Saccharomyces cerevisiae S288C: one gene and its partner. The protein of the gene in region 2 binds, or shares a complex with, the protein of the main gene of each other region. Each region holds a gene or a part of one and is shown on either strand. Other genes may lie near its edges. A codon is read from its position in the direction of its gene.

Region 1 (4,222 bases), on a different chromosome or scaffold from region 2:
TTTATATAGTGTATTTCTAAAGAAAAAGATGTGTTATTTTTTAAACATCCACCTTTTCGTGTCCTTATAAGATTCATGAGACTTTTTATATATCTCCTTCTCCATTTCTTCTAGTTTCAGTAAAAATGTGCTAGTTGCTATATTAGTGTTCGCTGAATTTTTTCCGGTCGAGTCTGCATTGAGATCAATCGATAAACTACTAGCATGATGATTAAGTTCTTGGGCACGTTGCAAAAGTAGCTCACTAACGACATTGGCCAGTTCTTTTTCGCTAAACAACATTATCCATTTTATGGCTAGACTGAAGAAATGCGAATTTATGGAATGCAAGTCCAGAGCCACCGGATCGGTCTTTATAGCGTTCATAACTTTCGTAGAAAACATATCTGGTGGCAGGAGTTCCACAAAAGGTACAGGTTCTTCATCTACCAAGGCTTCGTCACCACCCACAATTGCAAGGATTCTTGCTAACCATAGTGGCAGGCTTAGTTTAGTGTTTTTCGTTATGGGTCGTCCTGGGTTGTTTTCCAAATAACCAAGACCAGGAATATCATATTGAAATTTACAAGGAAACTCTGTCCCATCTGCTAGGACATCATCAATGTCATAGTAACCCATCCTTTCTATGCTTGCCCTTCTATTGTAAAAATATAATACCAAGAACAAAGTTGGCATCAATTCCATTGCGATTTTCACTACGCGTCGGCATTTATCTCGGAGAACCCGAAGCGATGGGTATATCATTTATAGATATAAAAGGGAAGTGACTCCAACAACTGAAAAACCGTTGTCTCCATCTACTACTTCAAAGACTTCATCAAGTAATAGTATAATCAATATGGTCTGTGATACACTGGTATATCATCCCTCCGTGACGAGATTCGTCAAATTTCTAGATGGCTCAGCTGGCAGAGAAAAGGTTCTCAGATTACTGCAGTATTTAGCAAGATTTTTAGCAGTACAGAACTCATCTCTCTTGGCCAGGCAATTACAAGCTCAATTTACCACAGTCAGAAAATTTCTGAGGTTTCTGAAGCCTTTAAACCACTTGCAGGCAGCTGCTAAATTCTACGATAACAAGTTGGCCAGCGACAACGTCGTTAGAGTCTGCAATGTTTTGAAAAACATCTTCTTTGCTGCATATTTGTCGTTAGATCAAGTCAATCTTTTGAGAATTTTGAAAGTGATTCCTGTAACCGTTCTTACCGGTAAGAAAATACCTCGCTGGTCCAATTGGTGTTGGCTGTTCGGCCTCCTAAGTGGTCTGGCTATGGATCTTCGTAAGATCCAAACATCTCATGCCCAGATTGCTGCGTTTGTCAAGGCAAAATCACAAAGCCAAGGCGATGAGCATGAGGATCACAAGAAGGTACTAGGGAAGGCATACCAAGACAGGTACACCGCGTTAAGAAGACTATTCTGGGATGCTGCAGATTCGTTCATCGTCCTCAACAACCTAGGGTACTTGTCTAGCAACGAAGAGTATGTTGCGCTATCCGGTGTTGTCACATCTATCCTTGGTATGCAAGACATGTGGAAAGCTACATAGCTTTCTTTTCATCTTTTTTTTTTATTTGGCTATTCTCCGCTTATGTTTGATTCGACCCTTCTTTATAATTTATTTCTTATGTATATGACCCAATGTTCCATGTCCATACCTGTATAAGATTCTGAGTGACAATAGTTCTTGTTATCCGCACCATTAATAACTAACTAACTATCTTTAAAGTAAAACTGGGATCGCTATAACTGCTTAGTTCTGTTACCCGCTCGTGATACCTGACGACCATTAATCATGAAGAAGTGTTAAGATGATCGACCAGCAGAGATAAAAGAATGAGAAAAGTAGCCTTCAAGAGGATTAGGAAGGAATAGTTACGGTTAATTTGCGCCTATATATTTCAGGGATGAGTGCCAATAGCCCGACAGGAAACGATCCCCATGTATTTGGTATTCCTGTGAACGCAACACCATCCAATATGGGTTCGCCAGGCAGTCCAGTTAATGTACCACCTCCTATGAACCCAGCGGTAGCAAATGTAAATCATCCTGTTATGAGGACAAACAGTAATAGTAATGCCAATGAAGGTACTAGGACTTTAACCAGGGAGCAAATACAGCAATTGCAGCAAAGACAACGATTATTACTACAGCAAAGACTACTCGAACAACAGAGAAAACAGCAAGCACTCCAAAACTATGAGGCTCAGTTTTATCAAATGCTTATGACCTTAAACAAAAGACCTAAAAGACTTTACAATTTTGTGGAAGATGCAGACTCAATTTTGAAAAAATATGAGCAATATTTACACAGTTTTGAATTTCATATTTATGAGAATAATTATAAGATTTGCGCTCCTGCAAATAGCAGGTTACAACAGCAGCAAAAGCAACCCGAGCTGACTAGTGACGGTTTAATATTAACCAAAAATAACGAAACTTTGAAAGAATTTTTAGAGTACGTCGCAAGAGGAAGGATTCCTGATGCTATTATGGAAGTCTTAAGGGACTGTAATATCCAATTTTACGAAGGAAATCTTATTTTACAGGTTTATGACCATACTAATACAGTTGATGTCACCCCCAAAGAGAACAAGCCTAATTTGAACAGCTCTTCTTCCCCTTCAAATAATAATAGCACACAGGACAATTCCAAGATTCAACAACCATCCGAACCTAATAGTGGTGTGGCAAATACAGGCGCAAACACAGCAAATAAGAAGGCATCCTTCAAACGACCTAGAGTATATCGAACATTGTTGAAGCCTAATGATTTGACGACGTATTATGACATGATGTCTTATGCAGATAATGCCAGGTTTTCTGATAGCATTTATCAACAGTTTGAATCTGAAATTTTAACACTTACCAAGAGGAACTTGTCACTAAGTGTGCCATTAAATCCATATGAGCACCGAGACATGTTGGAGGAAACAGCTTTTTCAGAACCTCATTGGGATAGTGAAAAAAAATCCTTCATTCACGAACATCGTGCTGAGTCTACGAGAGAAGGCACGAAGGGCGTTGTAGGGCATATCGAAGAACGCGATGAATTTCCGCAACATAGTTCAAATTATGAACAGTTGATGTTGATCATGAATGAACGCACAACAACGATAACCAACTCCACGTTTGCTGTTTCGTTAACCAAGAATGCGATGGAGATTGCTAGCTCCAGTTCCAACGGGGTACGTGGAGCTTCGTCCTCAACTTCGAATTCCGCATCAAATACAAGGAATAACAGTTTGGCTAATGGCAATCAAGTAGCTTTGGCAGCGGCAGCGGCTGCGGCTGCAGTGGGATCTACCATGGGTAACGATAATAATCAATTTAGCAGGCTGAAATTTATTGAACAATGGAGAATAAATAAAGAAAAAAGAAAACAGCAGGCTTTAAGTGCAAACATCAATCCAACCCCCTTCAACGCTAGAATATCGATGACAGCACCATTGACTCCACAGCAACAGCTACTTCAAAGACAACAGCAGGCCTTGGAGCAACAACAGAATGGTGGAGCCATGAAAAACGCAAATAAACGGAGTGGTAACAATGCCACCAGTAACAATAATAATAATAATAATAATTTAGATAAACCAAAGGTTAAGCGACCTAGAAAAAATGCAAAAAAAAGCGAGAGCGGTACACCAGCTCCTAAAAAGAAAAGAATGACTAAGAAGAAACAGAGCGCAAGTAGCACGCCCTCTTCTACTACAATGTCATAATCTACTTAAATAGAGTTATCATTCCTTATATATATATATATATATATATATATATATATATATATATTGTATTAAAGTACATCATTATTTAAAAAAAATTCTCACTTGGGCATCTCACCTCTGTGCTCAAGCAAAAGAATCTTTTGGCTCATTTTCCAGAAGATATTTTATTAGTTCGTAGATATTTTGTCTATCACTAACTGTATGAATCCATATACCATAGACCTCATGCTTCAAGTTCTTAATAATGACCAATTCATCTTTCACCTCTACCCCCATGCACTCTAGTGGGTTAAGTGTATCCTCTTCTGCATTAAATACTTTTCTTTTATTTACGACACTATTGGGAACAATGCCCATAGAAAAATTGTCAGGATTAATTCGGTTTAATATGATCAATCCATAATTGTATATGTCCTTTCCACTTAAAGTTTTGCCGCAATTATATGTTAGCGAATCATTACTTTTATAAGAGTTCCCATTTCCACTGCTATTCCTGT
Region 2 (5,109 bases):
AACTTATCGAGGTCAAATTCGTGGTCTGGTCTGGATTCAACGCTCCATAGGAAGTACGAGTTACTCCCAGAGTACAACGAGAACGGCTTTAACTCAATTGTTAACGGTGACCACCACAGCAAAGAGAGAATACGATCTTTACGAAGTCCTGCTCCGATAGTACCGAGAGAACCACTTCGTAACGAACCTACGGATACATTTGGTCACAGACTACACACAAAAAGGAGAACTATAAATGAGCTTTCCAATTCGCAGATACCCTTTATACCACCTCAGGAAGACGACCCTTTGCTCTCGAAATTATTTAACAAGGATGGAGTTAATGAGGTTAGAAGATCGCCCTATAAGTTATCGGTTAAAGATATACCAGGCAAATTTCCATCTCCCTTAACAAAACGTGATGAAATAGACAATTACTATGTCCGGGACGAAGATGCTTGCCACAAGAATAGAGAGTATAAAAAGGCATATTTTGATCTTTTTGCACAAATGGACTTGAACAGTAGAGACCTGGAAGATTTGTGTGAGGATGTTAGAGAGCAGCGTGAGCAATTCCACAGGAATGAGCAAACTTATAAGCAAGCATACGAGGAAATGAGAGCAGAACTGGTCAACGAGTTGAAGAAATCTAAGACACTCTTTGAAAATTATTATTCATTAGGTCAGAAGTACAAGAGTTTGAAAAAGGTCCTTGATCAAACGATCAGTCATGAGGCTGAACTGGCCACTTCTAGGGAACGGCTGTATCAGGAGGAGGATTTGAAAAACTTTGAAATACAAACATTGAAGCAAAGACTATCCGATTTAGAGCTGAAATATACCAATTTGCAAATAGAAAAGGACATGCAGCGGGACAATTATGAATCCGAAATACATGATTTATTATTACAGCTTAGCCTTCGTAATAACGAGAGAAAAGATACTTCTGCTGGTTCGAATATTTTTTCAACAGGACAATAGGACAGGACTCCATTCCACAATGGAAATAACAGTTACGACTCTAATTCGCATTCATGGGACACTGATTACTTAAAAAATATAGACGGATTCATAGAACGCTGAAGCAGAAAAGCTGACACGTTTCTCCCACTGTAACATTAAAAATACGTCATGATAGCAATGATAATGTGTTAACTACTTAGGTATGTACATTATATAGATAACGGAATAAAAAAAGATACGTTCTTATTATCATCACTCAACACGAGCTGTAATTCCCGCCCATTTTTTCTTCATTATCAGGTTGCGATTTTGAACAAAAAAAGTGAAACTTGAAGTTACGATGTGACATAAATTTGTTAAAATAAAAAAGATAAAATTCAGGATAGAAGTAGGTGCAACGCGAAATTGTCTCTGTCTACTTGTGCCTTGAACATCGAACTTACAACAGATTAACAAAGTATCGTTGCTCTTTTCATTCGTCTGTTCGTTATCATCATTGGATAGGGCTTACTTTCTCGCACGTGATTTTTCCCACAGTATAAATTTTGAGCTATAAGTGGTAATAAAAATTCAATAAAAATATAGGGAAAACAAGCCCAGTAGTTTTGATTTCTTCTATCATGTCAGCTATACAATCGCCAGCACCTAAACCTCTGCAGCCAACTTATCCAGCTGCTTCGCCAGCTTCCACGAATGCATATATGAAGCCGGGCCTAATTGGTAGTCCTGCCGTCAGTAATCATACCGAGCCTAACAATGGTAACAATGAAACTGCGGAGCCTCAGGGACCAAATCAGAGAATTGATTTGGGTGCCATGATCGAAGAATTAACCTCACTATTGGGAAAAGAAAGCTGGACGAAATATGCTCAGATCATCAGTCTTTTCATTTTAGGGAAGTTATCCAGAAAGGAACTTTCTAATGAATTAGAGCTGGTATTTTCACCAAGCGCTGCAAGCTTAGAAAAATCAAATACAAATCATCACCATAGTTTAGTACGACTTCATAACCAACTTTTATTAGGGATTTTTGCTAATTCATTACGTGAAAACCCTCTTGGGAGAAACGGTAATGAGAGTTCTTGGGGATTTGGCAATGGAAGCAACAATCCAAACAATAAACTAAAAAGAATCAATAAGCATAACTCTCAAATTGAAGTCTATAAAAAAATTGTCATGTCGTTACCTCTAAATGATCGAAATAGACTTAAAATGATCACGAAAGAGGCCGGCAAAAGAGGCTTCATTTTTTGCTCTGTATTTCAAGCCAGATTAAATAATATACCCAAAATTCCCATTGTAACCAATCCAGAAAGTTTGAAGCGTGTCAAGAGCAATAATTTAAAAACGCCGCTGGAATGGTCACAAGATATAATGAATGGATTCAACGTTCCTTTAGCGAGCGAAAGCCATTCTTTACCAGACACGGATTCGTTTTACTTAAGAATGGTTGGTATAGCAAGAGAACATGGGTTAGTCGGCACAGTGGACGCACGTTGCGTAGAGCTTATATCATTGGCCCTAGATCAATATCTAAAAAATATAATAGAGTTTACTATTGATACAGTTCGTTATAGAAGGAAGAAATATTCAGATTATTATGATTTGAATGAGAGTGGGCTTTATAAATCCGTATCAGAAATGGCTGCTGATAAACGCGATGCCAAAATTAAGCAGTTAGATGATGATAAAAATGAGGATGAATGTGCCGATGAAGCCAAAAGTATTAATAACGGCAATAACAGTAGCAAGGACGATATTGGCGACATATCAATGAGCAGCATTACAAAGGCTGGCGAAGCAGTTAATGAGGAGTTACATGAAAACAGAACGATATCATTAACGAATGAAGACATATATGATTCGTTATCTATATTTCCGAATTTGGTTGAACCTTCAGGTTCATACTATGCGTTAACTAATTTAGGGCTAGTTAACGATGATGAACTAGTAGATATGAAGAGCAATATTGACGACTTGCCGGACTTCTTAAATGAAAAGCCGACTTTCACGCCTTTGGATGAAAGAAACGTTGGTACAAGGCATGAATTAAATTGGTTAATTAAAGGAATCTTAACGGAAGATTGATGTATAAAAAGTGTGTGTATGCGGTATGTTGTAATTATATTGAAAGATTATAAACCTTATTTGTTTCATATCTAAATGGCTGTGTTAAGAAAGACGATAATGTGACCGAGCTTAAGTGAGCTTTTTCTTTCTTTTACAAAGTTGTGTTTGAACTTCTTCTGAAATCGTTAATAATTTATTGACATTTTTTGAATCGTTCAAGTTTAGCAAGAAAAAGGATTTAGTATCAGAAATTAGTTTTTTCAGAACAAGTGCAATAGGGGTCTCGCATGATTCCTTCTTAAAGATGCTTTTATCAAACTGTTCAATGGACTTCAGATTATTTAACTCGATAAAATAAAAGTCCACCGGTACGGGGTCATTGTTGCCATCGCTTTTTGAATCTCGAGGAAAAAACTGCACCTTGATTATACCCATCCCAGAATGAGGTAAATTTGGGTGTTCATCACAACTAAAATTTAAGGGCAAATCTTCGAGTCCATTTTCTATGATGACAAGTTTGGAATCCAAAGAAATTGAGTGTTTTTCAAATTTCAACTTTATGCTATCTTTATCATTGTGGGAATAATCCAAGAGCATGTCCTGAGAAAATTCGTCATCTGATAAAAATACAAACTGTAAGGTGATCACATATTGTTTTTGATATATTGTATCCTTTTCGGCCAAAAATTTTATTAGAGACTCTCTCAATGAGCCATGTGGAGTGGTGCTTAGAGATATTAAGTTGAAATTTTTTTTTTGGTTCAGGCACATATCATGGTAAACGCTATACTCTTGAGTGAAAAATTTATCTTCAGAAACTTTTAAATGCGGTATCACCCTATTAAATTTGTAAACATGTTCGCTTAGACCTTGGGTTATTACGCCATTTTCGTAATCAAATAAAAGGTTCTCAGGCAAATTTTGCTCCATCACGTAAGCGTAACAGCGCATCGTGCCTTTTTGTTCAATAATAGAGTTTTCAAGTCTCCTACTCCGCAGGAGTTCTTTTTCCACAGTGTTATAGGTATCATTATAAAATTTTTCCTGTTTAGAGGCCATTTCTTTCAAATTTTCCATTTGGTTTTGTAAATGTTCCAAATCTTGCGAGTTTTGTAAGGATTTGCTTATTAGTGGGTTGTTTGCCAATTCCAATTGTTTTATATTTTCATTTATTTCTGAGATGTTTTGTTCCGAATATTCAGCTTGTCTATCTATATCCATGATCTCCTTGTGTAACTTCTCACTTTCCGATTGTAGAGTGGCTATCTGATCAAGTAATTCACGATGTTTGTTTGTCAAATTTTCCATGGATTTTAACTTAGCTTCTTTGAATGCAATAAAATCCTTCCTCAATTGTGATTCGTGGTTTACTTGTCTTTCCAAGTTTTGCTTCTGTAAATTCGCCCAATTTATGTTGAGCTCTTGCAGCGTTTTCTTCAACTGAGATATTTCCTCTGTGATTTCGTGGTCAGGCTCGACATTTTCCATTATTTGCAGCTCATTTTCCCAAAAGATAAGCTTATTATTGTACAATTCTTGAGATTCCTGCCTTTTCAAGATCAGATTCTGGTCGAGTTCAGCCTGCAAGGTTGCCAAAGCGGATTTGTTCTTCTTAATTAAATCAGCGCGTTCACCGTCCTTGGAGTTCAGATTTTGCGTCAAATCTCTAACCTGTTTGAGATACTTTGCTTGTTTGGATTTTTTCTTATAAAGTTCAAACCTGGACTTATTGAGATCTCGAAACTTGATGGTTTTGATTTCTCTTTCGCACTCAATCAATTGAGTCCTGAGAGTATGTCTTTGGAACCTTATTTTGTCTTGGCGGTCTTTTAAGTCCTTAATTTTGCTCATGTTGATGTTTAATGATGCAGATCGAGATACAGATGGGAAGGAATCCTTTACGGGTGGAAGAGCCAATGAACTCTTCATAGACGAAGGTCTAGAGCCATTCATGGTGTTTGTCGTGTTTGTGATATCCATAAGGTTTCGAGATTTTGATGAGGACACATTATCGGGATTGTGAAAGATTCTATTCTTTGAAAGAAAAGCGTGTTTGTTTTGCTGTGACGCCATAAAGTACACTGGTCAGGAAATGGTG

Evidence for each region.
Region 1: the proteins of HFI1 (region 2) and SPT20 are in contact, whole or in part, in a cryo-EM structure (PDB 6T9I), measured with the Saccharomyces cerevisiae proteins. Residues at the interface, in NP_015069.1 of Saccharomyces cerevisiae: Cys211 (codon at 2,193), Ser212 (codon at 2,196), Val213 (codon at 2,199), Phe214 (codon at 2,202), Ala216 (codon at 2,208), Arg217 (codon at 2,211), Asn220 (codon at 2,220), Asp378 (codon at 2,694), Asp379 (codon at 2,697), Asp382 (codon at 2,706), Glu397 (codon at 2,751), Glu398 (codon at 2,754), Leu399 (codon at 2,757), Asn402 (codon at 2,766), Arg403 (codon at 2,769), Thr404 (codon at 2,772), Ile405 (codon at 2,775), Ser406 (codon at 2,778), Leu407 (codon at 2,781), Thr408 (codon at 2,784), Glu410 (codon at 2,790), Asp411 (codon at 2,793), Ile412 (codon at 2,796), Asp414 (codon at 2,802), Ser415 (codon at 2,805), Ile418 (codon at 2,814); in NP_014493.1 of Saccharomyces cerevisiae: Asp124 (codon at 2,277), Leu127 (codon at 2,286), Ile141 (codon at 2,328), Tyr146 (codon at 2,343), Lys180 (codon at 2,445), Leu183 (codon at 2,454), Glu184 (codon at 2,457), Val186 (codon at 2,463), Ala187 (codon at 2,466), Arg188 (codon at 2,469), Glu197 (codon at 2,496), Val215 (codon at 2,550), Asp217 (codon at 2,556), Asn220 (codon at 2,565), Thr221 (codon at 2,568), Val222 (codon at 2,571), Arg277 (codon at 2,736), Pro278 (codon at 2,739), Arg279 (codon at 2,742), Val280 (codon at 2,745), Tyr281 (codon at 2,748), Arg282 (codon at 2,751), Thr283 (codon at 2,754), Tyr293 (codon at 2,784), Tyr294 (codon at 2,787), Met296 (codon at 2,793), Met297 (codon at 2,796), Ser298 (codon at 2,799), Ala300 (codon at 2,805), Asp301 (codon at 2,808).

The regions. Positions count from the first base shown.
Region 1 is NC_001147.6:45,260-49,481, reverse strand, and holds SPT20 (Spt20p), read left to right. Parts: upstream 1-1,907; coding exon 1,908-3,722; downstream 3,723-4,222. Other genes in the region: DNA replication protein PSF3, read right to left, coding at 34-618; PEX11 (Pex11p), read left to right, coding at 839-1,549; DCP1 (Dcp1p), read right to left, coding at 3,849-4,222. UniProt on the Saccharomyces cerevisiae protein: Component of the transcription coactivator SAGA complex. SAGA acts as a general cofactor required for essentially all RNA polymerase II transcription. At the promoters, SAGA is required for transcription pre-initiation complex (PIC) recruitment.
Region 2 is NC_001148.4:67,923-73,031, forward strand, and holds HFI1 (Hfi1p), read left to right. Parts: upstream 1-1,562; coding exon 1,563-3,029; downstream 3,030-5,109. Other genes in the region: BBP1 (Bbp1p), read left to right, coding at 1-960; VIK1 (Vik1p), read right to left, coding at 3,141-5,084. UniProt on the Saccharomyces cerevisiae protein: Component of the transcription coactivator SAGA complex. SAGA acts as a general cofactor required for essentially all RNA polymerase II transcription. At the promoters, SAGA is required for transcription pre-initiation complex (PIC) recruitment.